Macaca fascicularis: one gene and its partners. The protein of the gene in region 3 interacts with the protein of the main gene of each other region in a pairwise test. Links are inferred from orthologs where the notes say so. Each region holds a gene or a part of one and is shown on either strand. Other genes may lie near its edges.

Region 1 (3,286 bases), on a different chromosome or scaffold from region 3:
AGCACTCCAGCCTGGGCAACACAGCAAGACCCCATCTCTAAAAACAGAGTGAGAGAGAGACATGTCTGGAAAGTCACCCAGGGTGTTCATTCTCCAGGACAAAGGCATCCTGTGCACTGCAGGGTGTGGAATAGCACCCCTGGCCTCCGCCCAGCAGATGCCAATAGCATTCCCCACCCCGAGTTGTCACAACCAATAATGTCTCCAGACCCTGCTGGAGGCCCCCCATGACAGAATCATCCTGTGGGAGCTGCTACCCTAGTCCTTGGTTCTGATCCTTCTGAACGCTTCAGGGCTAGGAAGACATCGGGACACACCAGGGCAGCAGCCCCTCATCCGTGGAAGAGGAAATGGTGAGCCAAGGTCCCTGGGTGATTTTTTTTTTTTTTTTTTTGAGACAGAGTCTCATTCTATCACCCAGGCTGGAGTGCAGTGGCATCATCTCAGCTCAGTGCAACCTCTGCCTCCCGGGTTCTTCTCATGCCTCAGCTTCCTGAGTAGCTGGGATGACAGGAACACACCACGACAGCCAGCTCATTTTTGTATTTTTAGTAGAGATGGGGTTTCCCCATGTTGGCCAGACTGATCTTGAACTCCTGACCTCAGGTGATCCTCCTGCCTCGGCCTCCCAAAGTGCTGGGATTCCAGGTGTGAGCCACCTTGCCTGGCCAACCCCTCCAGGTGATTAATAACAAGAGTCCAGATCTCGGGAACCTGAGCTCTCCCACGTGTCTCCCAGGATGCTGTAAACCACACGCTGAGCTCCTGTCCGGGCTGCCCCGGCCCCCGCGGGCCCCAGTGCTTACCTTTGGTCCACTCGTAGGTGAAGGTGGGGTCCGGGGTCTGCACAGCTGTGTCCTTCACAAGCACCCTTGTCACGTGCCTGCCCGACTTTTTCCTAGCCTCGGCTGTTTGTGGAAAGTCTGTCTTCGCACTTGAAGAGGATTCAGACAGAGCGTCCAGTGTTCTGTCAAGAGACTCCTTGGAACGGGCCATTGGCTCAGATGCCGTCAGACTTGGAGAGTTTTCAAAATCCTCAGAATAAGCTGAGCTGACTGTGTTCACCATGGGGGCTTCAGATGGTGGCTGCATGCTGGAAATGCTGTCCTGCTGGATGGCAGAGGCCGAGCTGGCACTGAGATGCTCCGAGACCTCGCTCTCATCCCCCTCTGCAGAGGCGGCCTTTCCCTGTGATGCCCAGCTCCTCGCCTGGGCCTGCCTGGGGGCATCCGGCCCAGCAGACACCTCGGCTCTGAAGATTTTGCCAGCCGTTTTCTCTCTCTGAGCACTTTCCTCCTAAAATGAGGAATGGCAGAAGTGGCTGGGAAGCGAGTTTTTTTTTTTTTTTTTTTGAGACGGAGTCTCACTGTGTCCCCCAGGCTGGAGTGCAGTGGCGCGATCTCGGCTCACTGCAAGCTCCGCCTCCTGAATTCATGCCATTCTCCTGCCTCAGCCTCTCCAGTAGCTGGGACTACAGGTGCCTACCACCACGCCCGGCTAGTTTTTTGTATTTTTAGTAGAGACGGGGTTTCACCATGTTAGCCAGGATGGTCTCGATCTCCTGACCTTGTGATCTGCCCGCCTCAGCCTCCCAAAATGCTGGGATTACAGGTGTGAGCCACTGCGCCCAGCTAGAAGTGTTTTGGAAAGATCAACATGCTAGGAACACCGTACTCCTAGGAGCTGGGGACCTCCGGCACTCCCGCAGGCAAGGGGGACATACCAGCTCCTCATCAGGTGTGGGCATGGAGTATTCTAAACAGAACTGTGGCGTCTTCAGCACGGGATGCCTATGGGGCTGGGAAGCCTGATGGGGTGACGCATGCTTAGGTGGCACATGGATGGCATTTAACATTTCATCATGGACTTAAGGACTTTAGGTGGCTGAGGCGGTAGGATCCTTTGAGCTCAGGAGTTCAAGACCTGCCTGGGCAACATAGGAAGACCCTATCTCTATAAGAAAAAAAAATAAAAATTAAAAAATTAAGTTTCGGCCAGGCACAGTGGCTCATGCCTGTAATCCCAGCACTTTGGGAGGCCAAGGCGGGCAGATCACCTGAGGTCGGGAGTTTGAAACCAGCCTGACCAACATGGAGAAACCCCATCTCTACCAAAAATACAAAATGAGCCAGGCGTGGTGGCACATGTCTGTAATCCCAGCTACTCGGGAGGCTGAGGCAGAAGAATCACTTGAACCCAGGAGGCAGAGGTTGTGGTGAGCCGAGATCACGCCATTGCACTCCAGCCTGGGCAACAAGAGTGAAACTCCAGCTCAAAAAAAAAAAACATTTCATCATAGACCGATGAAATGTTAGGTGGCTGAGGCAGTAGGATCCTTTGAGCTCAGGAGTTCAAGACCTGCCTGTGCAACATAGCAAGACTCTATCTCTATAAGAAAAAAAATAGGCCGGGTGCGGTGGCTCAAGCCTGTAATCCCAGCACTTTGGGAGGCCGAGACGGGCGGATCATGAGGTCAGAAGATCGAGACCATCCTGGCTAACACGGTGAAACCCCATCTCTACTAAAAAATACAAAAAACTAGCCGGGCGCAGTGGCGGGCACCTGTAGTCCCAGCTACTCAGGAGGCTGAGGCAGGAGAATGGCGTAACCCCAGGAGGCGGAGTTTGCAGTGAGCTGAGATCCGGCCACTGCACTCCAGCCTGGGTGACAGAGCGAGACTCCGTCTCAAAAAAAATAAATAAATAAATAAATAAAAATAATTAGGCTGGGCGCGGTGGCTCATGCCTGTAATCCCAGCACTTTGGGAGGCCGAGGCGGGCAGATCACGAGGTCAGGAGATCGAGACCATCCTGGCTAACACAGTGAAACCCCGTCTCTACTAAAAATACAAAAAATCAGCCGGGCGCGGTGGCAGGCGCCTGCAGTCCAAGCTACACGGGAGGCTGAGGCAGGAGAATGGCGTGAACCCGGGAGGCGGAGCTTGCAGTGAGATCGCGCCACTGTATTCCAGCCTGGGCGACAAAGCGAGACACCATCTCAAAAAAAAAAAAAGAAAAGAAAAAAATAATTTAAAAATTAAGTTTCATCATGCCTGGGGGCAATGGCTTACACTTGCAATCTCAGCACTTTGAAAGGCTGAGGCAGGAGGAATGCTTGAAGCTAGGAGTTCAAGACCAGCCTGGACAACCTAGCCGGTCTCTATCTCTACAAAAAATAAAAAATTAGCCAGGCATGGGTGCATGCCTGTAGTCTCAGCTACTCAGAAGGCTGGGTAGGAGGACTGCTTGAGCCTAGGACATTGAGGATGAAGTGAGCCATGATCCCC
Region 2 (3,500 bases), on a different chromosome or scaffold from region 3:
GCCCCTTTGGCACAGGTAAATCACAATTACATTTTCAAGGGCCTCTGGTCCCATTCCAAATCTCTGAACAATCTGAGCTGGCAGTGGGAGGACACAGACACACACACACACACACACACACACACACACACACACACACACACTCCAAATCTCTGAACAATCTGAGCTGGCAGTGGGAGGACACACACACACACACACACACACACACACACACAGCTCCAGCCTTTCTCACTTTTATTCTTTTTCCACACACACACACACACACACACACACACACACACACACACACACAGCTCCAGCCTTTCTCACTTTTATTCTTTTTCCGCACAGCTCCTTCTCATTGCAGCAATCACTTTACCTGTCTTTCCTGCAATGCCAATTCATTCCCACATCCCTCCAAGACCCAGGAGAGCTTGGGGAAGCAGGGTCAGGGACAGAATCCCCAAAGGGCCACAGTCCCTTGAGGAAGGTGGCAGGAGGTGTGGAGCAAAGCAGAGCTGGGACGAAAGGCTGCTTTCAGTCTCTCTGGGTGAGCTCTTCAGGAACCAGGACCCCGGAAGGGCAAGCTCCTCTCTCCATGACCATTGCCACGGGGGGATCCTCCAAGCTCCCACTTTCTGTGATTTCAGCGTGCCTCAGACTCGGCTGATGGGTCATTTTTCTTGTATATTTTCTCTTGATTCCCCTCCTTCATGGCTGCATATCTGGCTAGTGTGAAGAGATAGTCACTGAGTCTGGAGGGGCAGAGAGAGAGAAGCAAACAGAGTGGTTTGAAATGAGAGATCAATGCTAACTGGGTCTTCCCATATCTGCCTACAAGGAGGAGATATAAATGACGCGCTCTGGGCACACCGTGCAGGGAGGGCGGGGGCCCACCACCTTGCACTTGATGGATGGCATGCGAGGCCAGCTGCTGTGAATGCCAAGGACTCTACTCCAGTGTCAAGGCTGGGGCCATTCCTGCAGGATGAGGCTATTGCCCCAGCCCTACCCCATGGGGCAGATGACTTTGGACTCCTCTCTGAGCTGGTTTCTGCACTTTTGAGTGATCAGGGCTCATGTGCGTGATCAGTTTGGGTGTTTCCCAAACTACAGTGTGCACAGGCATCACCGGGGGATCTAAGCAACGTGCAGATTCTGATTCGGGAGGGCTGGGCCAGGCCCGGGACTCTGTAGGTCTAGTTCCCATCCTGGGTGATGGTGACACTGCTGGACTAGGCCCTACTGACATTCTGGATCATTCTCTGTGTTCGGGGCTGTCCTGTGCATCCTGTGCAATGTAGGATGCTGACAGCACCTTTGGTCCCCACCCGCCAGATGCCAGTGGCACCCCTGAACCCAGTGTGACAACCGGTAATGCCTCCAAACATTGCCAAAGGTACCAGGTGAGCAGCACAGGCTGGGGCACTCTAGAGACCAGAGCCCAGTCCCTTTCCCGCCTCCTCCTTTGAGCCAACAGCAGTGGGCCATCTGTGCATGAGGCCTTCTGCAGGGGCAGCAATGGAGGGAACTAGAGGACAACGCCATGGGCCCCACAAGGCACTTACGCTGTCAGCTCTTCTGCCTCCTGCTGTCCGCATCTTTTGCTGTGTCATTCCCAGCACTGGGCACCACGTTCCTCCCTCTCTCTCTGCTCCAGTCTTGCCCTCAGAGGCCAGCTCCACACCACGTCCTCCTGAGCCCTCCCCTGACTCAAGCGCCCTGAGCCCCACAGCTGGCTCTCAGGGACAGCGAAGGGGAGGTGGTTCGGGGTATTTTACCTCTGGGCTGCGTGCTCCTGGAGGGCAGCAGCGTACCTGTTGCTTGTTGGCTCTGTGAAGCCTCACTGAAGAGATGAAATGGCCTGTCCCGTGCAATGCTATGGGACCGCAAGGGTCCCCCCAGGGTTGCTGCTTTGAAGGTGAAATGGACCTGCTCCTCACTCCCGGTGAAACCCCACTCCCAGAAGGAAAGGAGCTGCTCAGGACCTGTCGAAGCCAGGCCATGTCCGTGGGAGGAGTGGCCAGTCAGGGGCCTGAGGTCACTTTCTAGACACCCAGGACAGCTCCTGGGGTGCAGACCCACTCCCCCAGCTCTCTACCTGCCCCCAGGCTCTGGCCTTGCTCACACTGGTGCCACAGGAGCCAGGGCTGGGGCAGGAACCAGCAGAGCAGGCGTTGGGCCAGGTGTGGCTCCAGCCTCATGGGCCGGCAGCAAGGCAGAGGAAGCCCTCCCTGGGCTAGCCTGGCTCACTGGGGCCTGCACGGGGGGCCCCTGAGCTCAGCTTGGCCCGGCTCTCTTTTGTTGGTTCACACTGCCCCAGGCCCTCTCGGGGAGAGGAAACTGGCTGAGAGAGGGCCTGAAGCCTGGCTCCCTGGTCGGCCACCACCGAGAGGCCTTCCCTGAGCACCCAGCCTCTAAGAACGCCCTTCGCTCCCGCAAGGCCACTTTGTACATAAGTTTTTCTTCCTGGTTTTTACAGCAGCCTCTCCCAATAAGATCTGAATCTTCTCGGGACAGGCACAGTGTCCACCTTGTTCGCCACTGCCTCTCCTGTGCCTGCCGTGGTGCCTGGCACAGAGCAGATGTTCATAAACACTAAGGGAATGGAGGAGGGGGTGTGGGAACACTGCACCACTGCTACTTCCCACAGACGAGCCTCGGCTTTCAGAGAGGGACCCCCAGGTTCCACGCGAGTACCTGTTTAAGAACTTGGCCACGTTCGCATCGGTCTCTCCCATCTGGACAAGAGGCACCACGCTAGAAAGGGAGGAGACACTGAGTCATGTGACATTATGGGGCTTAACAGGCTCTGACCTGGGGCCTAAACCTTGAGCAGCATTTCACATCCCACTACCGCTCAACCTGAGCCTGCACAAGCTCGGCCAGCACTGGAGATGACAAATCCGTCACAGGTGGGTTTAAACAGGCCATCAGCCCCCTTTCCACGGGCACATCGCAGGAGGGCCTGGTCAAGGAGGACTAGAGCACAGCTGGGGAGTTGAGGGAGCCGCCTGGCCTACACCACACCCCGGCCAGTCAGCCAGCTTTTGTACCATTAGACCTGAGTCTGGGTGGGGTGAAGTTGGGGTGGTCAGCCTCCAGCCTTCAAAGGAAGTGGGGGCCTGACCCTTAATTCCCAATGGGCTAAACTCTAAGCCCCTTGTACATCATGCTTGTACATCATGACTTAGAACAACTTCACAGGGGAGAAAAAGACCCAGGCAGACCAAGCTCCTGATTCCACAGGATTCTGGATTCCTAGGGTCCATGCCCGTCTATGTGCAGATACATTAGACACTGGACAGCCATCTGCTGGGCACCAGTGTGGTGGCGGGCCCTTGCTGAGCCTTTCCCAGGTATCACCCTGTGGCATACACTTTGTTGGCAGGCCAGCCACCTAAAGCCCAGCCTCAGGGTTCTCATCCCCACCCAAAGCCATGCACCTGGCTAGCGGCCCAGCAGGGTGTGCGTCCAGGCCTGTCAGAGTTCCAGGCTGTCTCTAATGGGCACCGCACGCT
Region 3 (4,100 bases):
GGAAGAAAAACGGGAAATCAATGCGTCCTGAAAAGACCTAAGGGTGATAACAAGTAGTGATCACAGGCATTTGCAATGTAATTGAGAAGCCTAAACACACAGCAGGACTGGGAGCTGGGAAGCAGAGGCACTTTCTAGAGACAGAGCTGCTGCCACAAGTCCTTTCTGAAACAAATGGAAAGTGGATTCCATCCCAGAATAGAGTAGCTTTTGGCAAATACAAAATAAGAAGCCCAGAGATGAGCGGTTAAGATGCGGGGAGAAGACTCCATCTCCAAAGAGCAAAAGAAGAACCACAGAGCTAAGATGCAGCGTGGCCCAGCTTAGTGGCATGTGCCCTGGTATAGCGGAGAACATGGGCACTGATTGGAGTTCAAGCCCCTTCCTCCATCTCTGCCATTACTAGTGGGGTTCCTGGGGTTGCCAGTTCCTGTACCTGTAAAATCTCTACCTCACACTTACTTGGCACCGTGCTCAACACATGATCGCACTAACATTCAGTCGATATTTCTTCCTCTCCTTGCTTCCCAGATCAACCCTGTCCCCTAAGCCATGCACCATCTCATCTAGGGAGGCCGAGTGAGCACATTGGTCCCTCTCGCAGCCCTGGTGGTATTTTGGTTCAGATTATCTACTTGTAGACACCCACACCCGTCCCCAGAGTGCCAGTCTTGAGCATCCTGACAGGTGTCCAAAACCTGGTGCATGGCTTGTGCCCTCTTGGCAGGTGTATACACCTTCCCGTGAGAGGTACACATGCCCAGACAGGAGATATCCTCTCATTCTTCACCCACTCTGCCCCCACAGGACCCCAGCAGCAGCACCAGGTCCTCCAGAACAGTAATCAGGCAGCCCCAAGACAAGCTTGAGCTGTCTTAAACCACATTCTCTTCTCTTTGATTGCTGGGCTGTTTCTGGGAGCTGGGGAGGGAAAGTTACGGTAGGTGTTGATGGAAACATCATTCCAATTTCTCTATCACATGACCACTACTCTTTCAAATCCTATCCCCTCCTTCACACCCACCTCTAGGTTGGCATCCTCTGCCTGACCAAGTTTCTTAAACACCAACTTTGCCAACATTACTGAGGGTTACTATCAGAGAACGTTCAGCCATCTGAGGTACTTTCAAAGCATGTAAAGTTGAGAGGCCCCAGGATTCTGGAAGAAAAGATTGGTTTATATGGGCCATGAGGCATCACAGCAGTAACACCCACTCTTGGGGAAGCAGTGGCCAACACAACTCCCTGCATATTTCAGGTGGAAAGAATCAGGCCCAAAAAGATTCCTACAGCTTGTTATCCTGTCGAATGATCAGGGGGAAGTTATCTTATATTCTAGCTAAGATTCAAGTCATAGAAAAGTGACTGTTCATTACAAAGTTATAAAGATAATGTGAAAATAAACATCCAGGATGTTTTCTTCTTCCATATGTTTGCCTCCCACTGAACATACTTGCCTAGATTGTTACAATTATATCTGGAATGCTCACCAGTGGTCAATCCTCCTCCTACACATCCCTGGACAGAGCTCTCAGATAGTTACCTCTGCTTTGGATTCCTCCATCCTACATTTCAACCCCTCTGGTTGCATGGCCCTGGTCTTCCAATGAGGCCTTAGGTGACTCTGGAGAAAGCAAAGCCACCCCTTTGTGACATAGCATCAGTAGACACAATTCAATCAAGAAGACTCCACTAAGGAAAGAGCTGATTTCAGGCAGGAGGAGACCTGAGAATCTCTAGCCTGTGAGGACTTCACCAATTCATTGACCACAAAAGCATCTATGCCCATGGCCCCTACATCTGTCTTTGGTGCATAGCAGGGCTTAATTCTCTTGACAACTCCAAATAACTCTGTACCCCTCTGTCCATGAAGGAGGTTTTCTTCTCATGGATTCATTCTTATGCATTTGATTCCAAGTCCCAGTTCTAATTCTCCTCTAGAAATCCAAAGTGAATGCACAACACTAAGCACCAAAAGGTCTCGTTTTGAGAAGGTTGGGTTACTTCAGAGTATCATAGAAACTTGGAATGTTAGGACTGGAAGTTCTTACCAAACCATCTGACCCAACCACCTCATTCGTGGGAAAAAGAACCCAAGGCCCACAGGGGCTATGTGGCCTTCCCCAGCACGCTGCCTGCTGGCAGCCAACCCAAACTAGAACCTGAAGCCCTATCTCTGCTTATTCTACAACATCTTGCTAGAGTTTTGAAGGAGGAGGTAGGGGGTTATTCTGGCTAACACCGATAGGTTACATCCTCTGTGATTATCCCTACCTGAGGTAGAACCACATTGATTGGAATTTCTAGGCTTTCAGATCTGGTATCTCTTTTTCTTGTAAAATTTGGCCTTGAGTGCTGTGGAAAAGAGAAAAGAAGAAGATTGCTGCTTCCCAACTCATCCTCTGGGCCTCAATTGCTCACCTAAAAAACATAGAACTTTCTCCTCATTTATTTCCCTCTTGTCAGTTATGTACAATTATGAAAGTCTGGAAGAATGTGTAGACGATATCTGGCAAGACGGTTTATCAATCTCTGAACAGATATTAAGCTAGATATTATAGTTGATGTAAAAGACTTTTGAAAGTCTTTGACGCGGAGATAACTGTACCTGCTTGCCTAAGATGATTATTTCTATCTCAAGTAAAAAGCCATACCAATGTGAGTTGCCAGGTATAGGTCCTATGCAGAAGTTGGTCACCAAAACACTCAGAACATTCCAGAGGTGACATCACAAAACAATAGGGTGTTTTTCAGGGCTCATGGTTTCTGTCTGAGCATCACAGGTGGGAATGAGGCATCTGACAGGCAGGAAGAACCTGTGGGGGCTGTGACTACTTGGCCGGTCAGGGTCAGTGTGACACACAATAGCTCAAACATTAGCCCCCTGTTGGGTCATCCCAGCTGCCATTTGTATTCTCACTGCCAGGCTAAGTTGAGACCCCTAGTTTCTCTCCAGAAGTGGCGTCTTCTTGGAGTTCGGTCACTCAAGAAGAAGGAAACACAACTGAACTCTTCCCACACCAAGCGAGAAAGTATAGTCTGAGGTGTTTTCTGACACTACTCAATTCCTTAATTCTCTGACATCAACTGTGTGCCCTACAATTCCATTTCATTCTGATGCTATCTACCTGGAGTTAGTGTGATAGAGCTGAAGGGGCTTACTGCCCAATGCAATAGAAGCCAATACTAAAACACTACGTTCTTTAAAAAAGAAAAACTTGTATATTCAAAGTCAACTCCCAAGGAGACAAGAGTCAAACTCAAACCGGTCTCTCGGTGCTGACATTAAGGCAGTATTTTTATTAGAAAAGTTTCCGGGGGTAGATTCCGAGATTAGTAGGTGATTGGTAGATGGAAATGGGAGATATGGAAAGTCCCAAAGAGTAAGAAATCAGTAACTAACAGAAATTTTTGAGTTTCGGGATAGCAGATAAGAAAAGAAATTTAAGCTGCTGAAACTCCCTCCACTTGTGAGATCTAGAAAAACCTGGCGGAAATTGGTTGGAACCAAAATGGCTGACTGGAGCTTGCACACAATAAGCTTGCTGATGTCGTAGCCTGAATTTCCACCACATGTTTTGTACTAATTCCCCCTGAATTTGCACATGCAACTCAGGAGTTAACATGAAGAAATAACTGTGCATGCCCAAGGACTTTCCAGACCTCCCTTTTCCTTGTACCAATCACCTGCTAATCTCAGAATCCACCCCCTGAACCTTTTCCAATAAAAATACTGCTTTAATGCCAGCACAGAGAGACAAATTTGAGCTTGACTCCTGCCTCCTTCAGAGGTGACTTTTAATATAAAGCTTTTCTTTTTTTCAAAAACTTGGTGTCAGTATTGGCTTCTAGCATATTGGGCAGTGAGCCCCTTTTGCTTGATAACAAACTAGAACCCCAGGTGAGACGAACAGCCTGTTCAAGGTACTGTTGCCCCTAGTGGTGTGCAGGCCCCCTGCACTGATCCTGAGTAGCCACCTAGACCAGTGCGTTCAGAGGCTCAACTATAGGGTTCCTGCTTCTCTACCATGGCACTTCAGGTTCCCTTGGCACTTTTCCTTTGGGAAAAGAAATTGCTTCTGGATTAGACATCTTTCTGG
Region 4 (2,205 bases), on a different chromosome or scaffold from region 3:
AGCCTTCATACTCAGGCACCAGGTTCCCCCAATTCATTATACATTTTTCTTGCTTCTGCTTTTATGTTTAACTTGTACATTCATCATTATAGCAAAGGGCTTATAGAAATCTGGTTTTTCTACTTCTGCTTTAATGATCAGCTTACACATTCATCATTACAGCGAAGAGCTTATGGAGATCTGAACTGCCACAATAGGAGAAGGCGAGCTTGAGATTTGTGTGGGAAGCTTGGCATCAAAAATCTGAGGAAGCTCTTCATTACAGGATAGACCAGGATAATTAACTATACCTTTTACTTTTTTTTTTTTTTTTTTTAAAGAGAGGAGATCTTGCTCTGTCACCTAGGCTGGAGTGCAGTGGTACAATCACAGCTCACTGCAGCCTTAACACCTGGGCTCAAATGATCCTCTTGCCTCAGCTTCCTGAGTGACTGGAAATGCAGGCACATGCCACTGTGCCCAGCTTCTACACTTTTTAAGAATCACAAAATCCACTTCCATTCTTTAAAAATTTATTATTTATTATTAAAAATCTCAAACAAACACAGACATATGGGGATACCAGCAGTCCCCTCCTGGATACCAGGTAGTGTCAGCCCTGGCAGGCATGATAGAAGAAAATACTTGTTAGACATCCTTGTCAACTCTCAGAGGGATCTTGAGCAGTGGATGGAGGAAACGCAGACGGAGTAAGCACAGGTAAAAGATCTCCCCAGGAGCTGACACGGGCACAACGATACAAATCCCTATGGAAATGAGACGTTAATGTGGGCTGCAGGTTCTTGCCACATCCCACTAATTTTGGTCACACCCCCTATACCTGCCATGCCGGCGGGCTGTGATCACAGCATGCTGCATATGCCCATCTGGACAGCACAAGTGACAATGCACATGGCGAGGTCGTCTAAGGACAGGCTGAGTGATACGGGGCCAGCGATTAGCCTCCTCTGGAGACCCCCGAGCAAGGATCACCATAGAGAACTTTTCTTCCTTTGGTTTCTTGTTCTAAGATAAGGAACATAGAGACTGTTTAGAAGAAAAACATATGGGAAAAAAGTTTGTCAAGCCCCTTCTTCCCCATTCCTGCAGTCCTTTTTTACAATGTGTAAATCATATACATGTAGGCCCTAAAGTCTCTAGGCTATTCTGTGAATTATCCAATGCCTCCTAACTCTGACTCTTTTTCTTCCTGTTTTTTCCAAGATGTTTGCTTCCTGCTGCAATATCCCCAGGTACCTACCCAGCGGAAGGGGATGGGATGGTACGCCTGTGAGAAGCTACACGCCAGTGGCCTAGAGGTTGTCAACTGGGGACAAGGGAGTTCATGGGGACACTGTGAACACATAAAAAAGTGAGGTAAGACAAAAGAGCCATCAATCACAAAACTTAAAAACTAAGAATAATAGAGTCAAAAGGGGCCAGGGAGAATGGAGGACAGGAACAGTGGGTAGGAAGAGCCAGGAGAATCATTAGGTAGGAACTGGATAGGAACACAAAGTAGTGGAGAGTGGCTTAGCTTTACCATCTTACTTTTTCTGGCCACACCTGAGTTCAGATCTGTGTGGTGGGACAGGTAGAAGTAATACTTACCGGGGCAAAGACAAAACTAGGTCGAGGGTCCAAAGGTGACTTCTCTTTTCCCTGAAATCAAAGGAAATAAAAGAAATAAAGCTGGGCCAGGTGTCTATTTTCATAACTCAATCTCTGCAGTCAGTAAACTGAGGACTCCTTTAACATTCAATTCTAATAACGATTAACTACGTCCTTTGAGTTAAGCTGGCTGCATCTTTAATACTCCAAACAAAGAACTTTCTCTTTGCTGCAGGAGAAAGGCAAGAACTTGGCACAAAGTACAGTGCTCTCCCTTGTCAGCAACCTCCACTCTCAAAAAAATCCCACTCCAGGACAATGAAATTTATGATTATACACTGGCTCATACTCTCCCCCAGTGACAAGGTTCTCAGCTCAGCAATGCCCTAGATTAGGAGTCCGCAAACTTTCTTTTAAAAGGCCAGACAGTAGGCAAAATCTATCTCTGTCCCAACTACTCAACTCTGCTGTTTGTAGTGTGAAAGCAGTCACAGACAACAGAGGCACAAATAAGCATGGCTTATATAAAAACAGGTGGCAGGTCGGATTTGATCCACAGGCTCTCATTTGCCAACCACTGCTCTGATTCATAATGACTTTATATGCCCAGTTTCC
Region 5 (3,500 bases), on a different chromosome or scaffold from region 3:
CAGTAGGAAACGAGGCTTCCAGAGTCCAGGCTCTCCTTGCCAGGCTCTGCTGATAGCAGGGCTAGGATCATGGGTATATTAACTATGGCAGTTGCATGCTGAAATGCCCTGTACTTAAGGCTCTGCTGCTGCTGTTGTGAATAACCAGTAACTTTGGAACAAGGGACCCTGCATTCTCATTTGGCACTGAGTCCCGCAAACCATGTAGCTGGTACTAGCTGGCAGCCAAGGCCCCTGAACTCACCTTGCTGGGCCTCATTAATCCGGTTAATCAGGACCTCAACTCGGGGCTCTAGGCTTCCCACTGCAGGGAGGAAAGGAGGTTGAGTTGACAGGGCAGGCAGAGGTGGGGTGCTTGCAGCCTTGTGTCTCTGCTGCTTTCACGCAACACAGATCTATTCAGTACCTACTGAAAGCAGGTGCTGTGTGGGGCCCTCACAGGGCTCATGTTCTGGGTGGGTGAGACTGGGAACAGACACAATAAGATACTGAGTGGGGCTGTGGTAACTGTGTTCAAGAGAAATAAAGTAGGGCAAGGGGGGTTAAAGCGCAAAGGAGTGGAAAGCGCTCCTCAGATATGGGAAGGTATCATGAGAGCCCCAAATCAGGTGGTGGGGGGCAGGCCCTGCAGCTCTTTGGGTTGGGGTGGGAGGTAGTCAGTGCAAAGACCCCCTCTGAGGTGGGAACATGGCTGGCAGGAGCCTAGTGAGCAAAGAGGGAGTAGGGGTTGAGGGGAAAGGAAGGGAAGTAAAGGTGGCAACTTCTGGATTTAATGGACTGCAGTGGAGCCAAATGGGTGACCAGCAAGAGGTTTGGGACAGGGTTTTGGGAAAACACTTTGCCTTCCTTACCCTTTTTCCTTCTTTAATTTTGAATCATGGGACCCGATTTTTAGTTTAAGTAATTAAGTTTTAAAAGAAAGAGAAGGTGAAGAGGATTATTTCCCAAGTTTATACATTGTGGGGCTGGAAATTGAACCCACATCTGCTTGGCCCCAAATCTCAGGCTGAGCCTCACACAAAGGAGACACATGACCTTTCTGCAGCTTTTTCACCATTTCCATCAAGTCTTCAATTTTCTGTGAGGATGTGTCCTGCCCTGTGGAGACAAAACCAAACATTTCAGAATCAAGCAGGGCGAGAGGCCAGAGGAAGGATCTGACAGCCCCTGGGCTGAGACTGAGGTAGACTGAGGGCAGGTCTCCAGCCAGAGTGGTAGCCCTGCTCCTTCTCCTAAGGTGAACAGTACACTAGATGAATCAGGCTCCTCCATGGTCAGCTTTTCCCTGCAGGGTAAAATTATACCAGGCAGCCCTTTGTAAAACTCTGGGTGAGGGCAGGGGTATACTCTCACTGCTGAGGCTGTTCAAAGTAAGGTCAAAGCTCCTGATATAATAATTTAAGAAAAAAAATGAAGGTATAAAAACCTGGAACAAGGAGTCAAAAATCACTGTAACTAGCAGATGACATAATCTAGGAAGTTCTTAAGAGAGTTTTCTATAAAACCATAAGGATTAGTAGCAAAATGCCTTAGGATGTTAGTTTAAAAACATATATAAATACAAATAGCTTTCCTATATACAACCAATACTAAACCTGAAATCTCCCCATAAAATATTTCATATTAATTTTTTATAATTATTGGAACCTATTTTTAACACTAAAATTAGTAGATCTAAGAAATTATTTATGGCATTAACATTGTGAAAGGAAAATAAATCTTTTTATAAATATTTGAAAATAAATCAATTCAAAGTTACCCTCTGCTGAGATAGATGCGTATCTGATTTTGTAAAATAAAAATCTGAAAATAAATGAATTCAAAGTCATCTCTCTGCTCACTCAGATAAATGCATATCTGATTGCCTCCTTTGGAAAGGCTAACCACAAACTCAAAATAATGCAACCATTTGTTTTTTATCTACCTATGATCTTGAAGTCAACCTCCCTGCTTCAAGTTGTCTCATCAATGCTTTGAGGTGACCCACCTTTCCAGATCGAACCAATGTTCATCTTACATATGTTGATTCATGTCTCATGTCTCCCTAAAAAGCATATAAACCAACCTGTGCTCTGACTACCTTGCCATCCTGGGCACATGTCATCAGGACCTCCTGAGGCTGTGTCGCAGGCATGCATCCCTAACTTTGGTAAAATAAACTTCCTAAATTGACTGAGACCTGTCTCAGATTTTGGGGTTTCACATTTTGGCAACCACAAAGGGATTCTGAGTAGAGGTGCTCCTGACCTTTGACAAACATTCTACCAGTGCCTGCTAGCAGCTTGGCTATCTTTGTGGCTCAAACTAATTTGACAAGTTGCTGAGGTCTGGAAGTCCCCTATCCAGGGAATCCCTCATTTCCCAAAATTCGTTCGAAGGCCAGAGTTTATTTTCTGAACAACTCTTCTCTTTTTCTGGAGTTTTACTTGCTTTCAACAAGGAAGGCAAGTTTTCCTGCTACCATGAAAACTCATTTCTGGAGTTTGAACTCGCTCCCAACAGGAAAGACAAGTTTGAGGGTTTTTTTTTCCTGCTTCTAAGATGATAGAGACAAGTCTTCAGCCTAAGACCCGTCCCTAGGTAAGTAACTGAATTGGGGTTTGTCTTGGCTAAAGGTAAGATTAACAACCAGCTGCTCTTAATTTTTCCTTACCATTACAGTGTTCAGTAATCATACAAGTTGTGTGATCATTTGTTTGTTACACTTAACCGTTATTTTTTTTGTTGTTTCTTTCTGTTTTTGCTGTTTTGGTCCTTTTCCCATTGGGTTTGGCCAATTCTATCTGACTTGATCAAATCCAAAGGAAAGTTCCAAATTATGTGGAACAAGGCCTCTGAAGTGGCTAAATTCCCATCAGAAAAGTGGTGGTGGGGGAAGAAAAAACGGCCAGTAAAAGTAAAAAAGGGGGAGAAGATTTTTGATTTTGACTACTTAAGTGGTTTCATTTACATAACAAGGCCATCTTTTTGCTAGCCAGGCCAAACTGAAAGAGAAATGATTGTCACCCACACTGCAGTTCCATAGCTGAGGTTCTGTCTTCTTTTTTTCCGTAACAGCCTGGGTTTGGTTCCTAAATCAAGACCTTTCTGGTTTGATACTTGGTACTTCTGAAATAGCAGCTATTCGTCCTAGCTGAAATATGTTGAAGAGATTTAGAAAAAAAATTTGAAAGAAACTCAAAAGCTTAAAAGTCAGCTTAATTAAAAGCTAACATCCAAGATATGTGTGTGTCTCTGTGTGTGTGTGTGTTTAAAAGGCTTTCATGATTTTTCTTTTTTCTCTCTCCTAGGTCCTTGTGTTTTTTGAGCAAAATTTTTTTTTTCTTCTCAGTTGACTGAAGGCTATTTTCTTCATTTAGTTCTGCTGTCTCTCCTTTCTCTTGCACCCTCTGCTGCATGAGGGACCTAAAACAGTTTATAATAGCATGAGGTTCCTTAAAGAAAATGGAGAAGGCATCAGACTCCCATTTGCGGAGAAAACTGCTTTTCCTTATGCATTC
Region 6 (3,500 bases), on a different chromosome or scaffold from region 3:
CCATGCAAGCCAGCCCTCGGCTGGATGTCCCAAAGGTCTGAGCCATCCCAGCTCCTCCTTGCTTCTTTCCTACACACAGACAGAGCAAGCCCCAAGTGAGGCAAGGAGGCTGAGAAGAGGGGGGCCCCTCTAATCCCCAATTTGTCCAGCTCAAGCTGAGGCGCCTGCAGATGAGCTTGGCTCCATTATTCATCAGCTTGAGCTGCCTGGTGGCTCAGATTAAGGCAGACAAAGGCTGGGCCACAGCATCTGCCTGCCAAGAGGGGCTTTTCTTGCCATCAGCCCAGGAACAGTTGCTGCAGAGGGCGCAGGCTCTGGACAGCCATTCTCCCAGCCTGAGCAGCTCAAGGAAGCCACGCTCCCATCCCAGCCCACTGGTCTAGCTGGTCCTACAGTCATTCCTTGCCTCTGCCAGAGGAAAAAAAAAATTACCTTCCATCCCTAGTAGCTGGCAGGGCCCTGTATGCTTGTGGGTGCTTTTTCCTGATAAGCCCATTCTGCACTGTGGGCCTCTCTCTCCAAGTCAAGTGGCCCATCAGCTGGTCTGCCATGTTGTCCTAACCCGGTAGGCTCAGCCCCCAGGTGATGCCCTAAACCTCCAGACATGGAGGCCCCTTCTAGGTCCTCAAGGGGTGAATCCCCAGGAACATTCTTTTCTTTTTTGAGACAGGGTCAGCAAGAGCTGTCACCTAAGCTGGAGTGCAGCGGCGCGATCACAGCTCACTGCAGCCTCAAACTCCTGGGCTCAAGCAATCCTTCCACTTCAGCCTCCTGAGTAGCTGGGACGACAGGCGTGCAGCCACTACACCTGGCTCTTTTTTTTTTGTTTTTTTGTTTTTTTGTTTTTGTTTTTTTGTAGAAACAGGGTTTTACCATGTTGTCCAGGGTTGGTCTCGAACTCCTGAACTGGAGCGATCTGCCTGCCTTGGCCTCCCAAAGTGCTGGAATTATAGGCATGAGCCACCATGCCTAGTCTGAACATTCTTCCTTAACCCCTGCTCCTGGCCTCAGCCTCTCCCCTCCAGCCCTGGCAAGGAGCATTGAGTCACAGATTCTGTTTTACTACATCACTTTTAAATGCAGGTGTTAAGAGAGAAGGTACAGGCAGGTCAGTCAAAGAATCTTTGGGGAAGTGGGGGAGCTTCCACTGATAACCTCGCCCTTGCAACATGCCCAGACCTAGGCAGAGGGAACCCCATGAAGCCTTTGCCCTGACCTGTTAATGAATGCGATGAGCCCTCCTTCCCCACAAGCCCAGCCGCCATCCAGCAGCCTGCGACAGAGCCAAATGCAGGTGTTGGGTCGCAGCCAAGGCCCTGCTTTGTGGCCTCCTTCCAGCCTTGCTGATGTCGTAAATGGCCTCAGGGAGGGTTAACTGGGGGAGGCAGCCCCAGGGAATAGGATCCAGGTTGTAGGGAGGGTGAGTTAGAGCTCAGAGGAATGCAAGGCAGGGAAGCATTGTTCTTTCACCCTTCACGGGGAAATAAACTGAGGCTAGGAGAAGATTAGGAGCCACAGGCTCAGAGCTAGTTCCAACCCAGGTCTTGAAGCTCCAGCATCAGTGGCCCTGCTCCTAGGATATGGCTGCCTGCCAGTTTCCCTGGGCAAATGGACGCCGGCTCCCAAGGACCACCTGGAAAGGAAAGTTGGGCACTGGGAGAGGGAAGAAGACTGCATTAGGGAGGAGGGGCCCGGGGAAGTCAAAGCTTCCACACCTGTTCTCAAAGCCCCTCTGAAGTATCCCCTCCCAGATTCCAGATCAGGTGGGTCAGAAGCACCTGGCCAAGGCAGGGGGTGAGGGGTGGTGGGGGGGAGCAAAGCTGGGGCCCTCGGAAAGCTTAACTTAGGAGCCCCAGGTTACAAATGCCTGCCCTGAACCTGTGCTGAGCACTGAGTCCAAGGGCATAAAGACCTGGGCCTTCCCTCAGGTATCTGGGGCAAGCAGGGCAGGGGCAGGACAGTCAAGAATGGGGGGGCACACAGGGTACTGGGTCTAGGGCCGGGGCACAGTAACACTAGGGCTGAGGATGGGGGGCTTTCTGAGCAGGACAAGGGCTTGCGAGGCCAGGGGTCGGCAGCCCACCTCAGGTAGTCGCGTCGGCACAGGATGAGGTTGGCCTTGGTGTAGAGGGTGGAGCCCACCTCGCCCAGGCGACAGTCACAGCAGGCACACTTGAGGCAGTCTTCGTGCCAGTACTTGTCCAATGCCTTCAGCAGATAGCGGTCCTTGATCTTGCGGTTACAGCCCGCGCAACCCTTCTGCTTCCCTTTGGGCTGAACGGAGAGCATCGGCACGCCTGCAGACGGACAGACAGACAGGAACGCAGGATGGGCCCCGTAGCTCTGGGCCTCAAGGAATATCCCCCAAGAATGGGGAGCTCACTGCTTCTCTCTGCTGCCCCCTCTAGGTTTGGGGCTCCCAGGAGCCCTCGCTTTCTCCCCAGTAACCTCTTTCCCTGGCTCTGGGTCCTGCCCTTTGGGCTGCGTGGCACAGCCTGTTTCCCTGGTCCTGTGAAGGTCCCTCCAGAGGCTGCTCTGCTCCAAGGCATGCACAGACCCCAGGCCTAGCCTCCCTGAGCTGTTCTTCCCCACCCTGGCCTCTGGCCCCTGTGCGGTCTCACCCGGAGAAGCCTGAAGCTCGCCATGTGAAGCCACCATCGCATTGGCTCTTTCAGCAATAAGCCTAAGAAATGTAGTCTCCTCAGGCCCAGGAGATCCTCTAGAACCCCCAGATCTTTTTGCCGACTCATGTTTCTCCAGCTGAAATGCTACAGCCTCTTGGTCTATCCATGTAGAGCTGTGAAGGCATCAAGAAGGAAGTGAGACACTCTTGGGACACTCCCAGGAGGGAGCGGAGGCTCTGGGGCTCCTGGCAGGTAAGAGGGGGCAGCTGGCAGGGCCTGGCTGGGGCTCTCCTTGGGAATGCTTCATACCTCACCTGCCCTGGCCTGGGGGAGGGCAGGCTCTGAGCCTCTGGATCCTTCGTCATTCTGCCAGGATTAGGATCTCTCAGCCATCCGCACCTCCCAGCACCCATACTGGCTTCCCAACATACACACAGGCACCAAGTACAAAGGGCCCAACATGATGTTCACCACAGAGCAGAGCCTCCCATCGCAGCAGGTGAGCATGTGTGCTCACGCACACCCCTCACACACAGGCACGATGTGCAGGTGTGGGCATGAAGTGACAGAGGCATGGATTCCTATTCCCTTCTCCTGGGACCACAGGGACAGTTGAGGAGGAGATGGGGACAGATGTCGTCCAGTAGCCTGGACATCCATGTGGACCTGTGAGGCTGGGAGGGAAGTGGAGAGGACCTCAGAAGCCCTGCTCTGTGACTTTACAGGCCTGTGGGAGTTGCCTGAGAATCCTTGTGAAGACAGGGAGGGTGTGCATGCTCTGTTCCTGACCAAGGTGCAGGCTGGATAAGGGCCCAGCCCTCCTCACCTCCCCGGCTTTCCAACACTCCCCTGGAGTCAGTCCTCCTACTGGCCCTG

The links.
Region 1: the proteins of CBY2 (region 3) and C19H19orf44 interact in binary tests that used the Homo sapiens proteins (3 or more experiments, as listed by UniProt). The two-hybrid records come from large-scale screens. The link is inferred for Macaca fascicularis from reciprocal best matches to the Homo sapiens genes CBY2 and C19orf44.
Region 2: the proteins of CBY2 (region 3) and MMAB interact in binary tests that used the Homo sapiens proteins (3 or more experiments, as listed by UniProt). The two-hybrid records come from large-scale screens. The link is inferred for Macaca fascicularis from reciprocal best matches to the Homo sapiens genes CBY2 and MMAB.
Region 4: the proteins of CBY2 (region 3) and METTL17 interact in binary tests that used the Homo sapiens proteins (3 or more experiments, as listed by UniProt). The link is inferred for Macaca fascicularis from reciprocal best matches to the Homo sapiens genes CBY2 and METTL17.
Region 5: the proteins of CBY2 (region 3) and SYCE1 interact in binary tests that used the Homo sapiens proteins (3 or more experiments, as listed by UniProt). The two-hybrid records come from large-scale screens. The link is inferred for Macaca fascicularis from reciprocal best matches to the Homo sapiens genes CBY2 and SYCE1.
Region 6: the proteins of CBY2 (region 3) and LMO1 interact in binary tests that used the Homo sapiens proteins (3 or more experiments, as listed by UniProt). The two-hybrid records come from large-scale screens. The link is inferred for Macaca fascicularis from reciprocal best matches to the Homo sapiens genes CBY2 and LMO1.

What each region holds. Positions count from the first base shown.
Region 1 is NC_088393.1:16,844,507-16,847,792, reverse strand, and holds part of C19H19orf44 (uncharacterized protein C19orf44 homolog), read right to left. Parts: intron 1,297-3,286; coding exon 807-1,296; intron 1-806.
Region 2 is NC_088385.1:116,423,501-116,427,000, forward strand, and holds part of MMAB (corrinoid adenosyltransferase MMAB), read right to left. Parts: intron 2,740-3,500; coding exon 2,680-2,739; intron 735-2,679; coding exon 626-734; 3' UTR 1-625. UniProt on the Homo sapiens protein: Converts cob(I)alamin to adenosylcobalamin (adenosylcob(III)alamin), a coenzyme for methylmalonyl-CoA mutase, therefore participates in the final step of the vitamin B12 conversion.
Region 3 is NC_088391.1:24,906,637-24,910,736, reverse strand, and holds the start of CBY2 (protein chibby homolog 2), read right to left. Parts: upstream 2,801-4,100; 5' UTR 2,730-2,800; coding exon 2,655-2,729; intron 2,356-2,654; coding exon 2,275-2,355; intron 1-2,274.
Region 4 is NC_088381.1:88,661,572-88,663,776, reverse strand, and holds the end of METTL17 (ribosome assembly protein METTL17, mitochondrial), read right to left. Parts: intron 1,642-2,205; coding exon 1,591-1,641; intron 1,334-1,590; coding exon 1,241-1,333; intron 1,006-1,240; coding exon 821-1,005; intron 747-820; coding exon 641-746; 3' UTR 501-640; downstream 1-500. UniProt on the Homo sapiens protein: Mitochondrial ribosome (mitoribosome) assembly factor. Binds at the interface of the head and body domains of the mitochondrial small ribosomal subunit (mt-SSU), occluding the mRNA channel and preventing compaction of the head domain towards the body.
Region 5 is NC_088383.1:142,658,560-142,662,059, forward strand, and holds part of SYCE1 (synaptonemal complex central element protein 1), read right to left. Parts: intron 1,099-3,500; coding exon 1,036-1,098; intron 305-1,035; coding exon 245-304; intron 1-244. UniProt on the Homo sapiens protein: Major component of the transverse central element of synaptonemal complexes (SCS), formed between homologous chromosomes during meiotic prophase. Requires SYCP1 in order to be incorporated into the central element.
Region 6 is NC_088388.1:57,600,199-57,603,698, reverse strand, and holds part of LMO1 (rhombotin-1), read right to left. Parts: intron 2,298-3,500; coding exon 2,084-2,297; intron 1,654-2,083; exon of another isoform or gene 1,634-1,653; coding exon 1,538-1,633; intron 1-1,537. UniProt on the Homo sapiens protein: May be involved in gene regulation within neural lineage cells potentially by direct DNA binding or by binding to other transcription factors.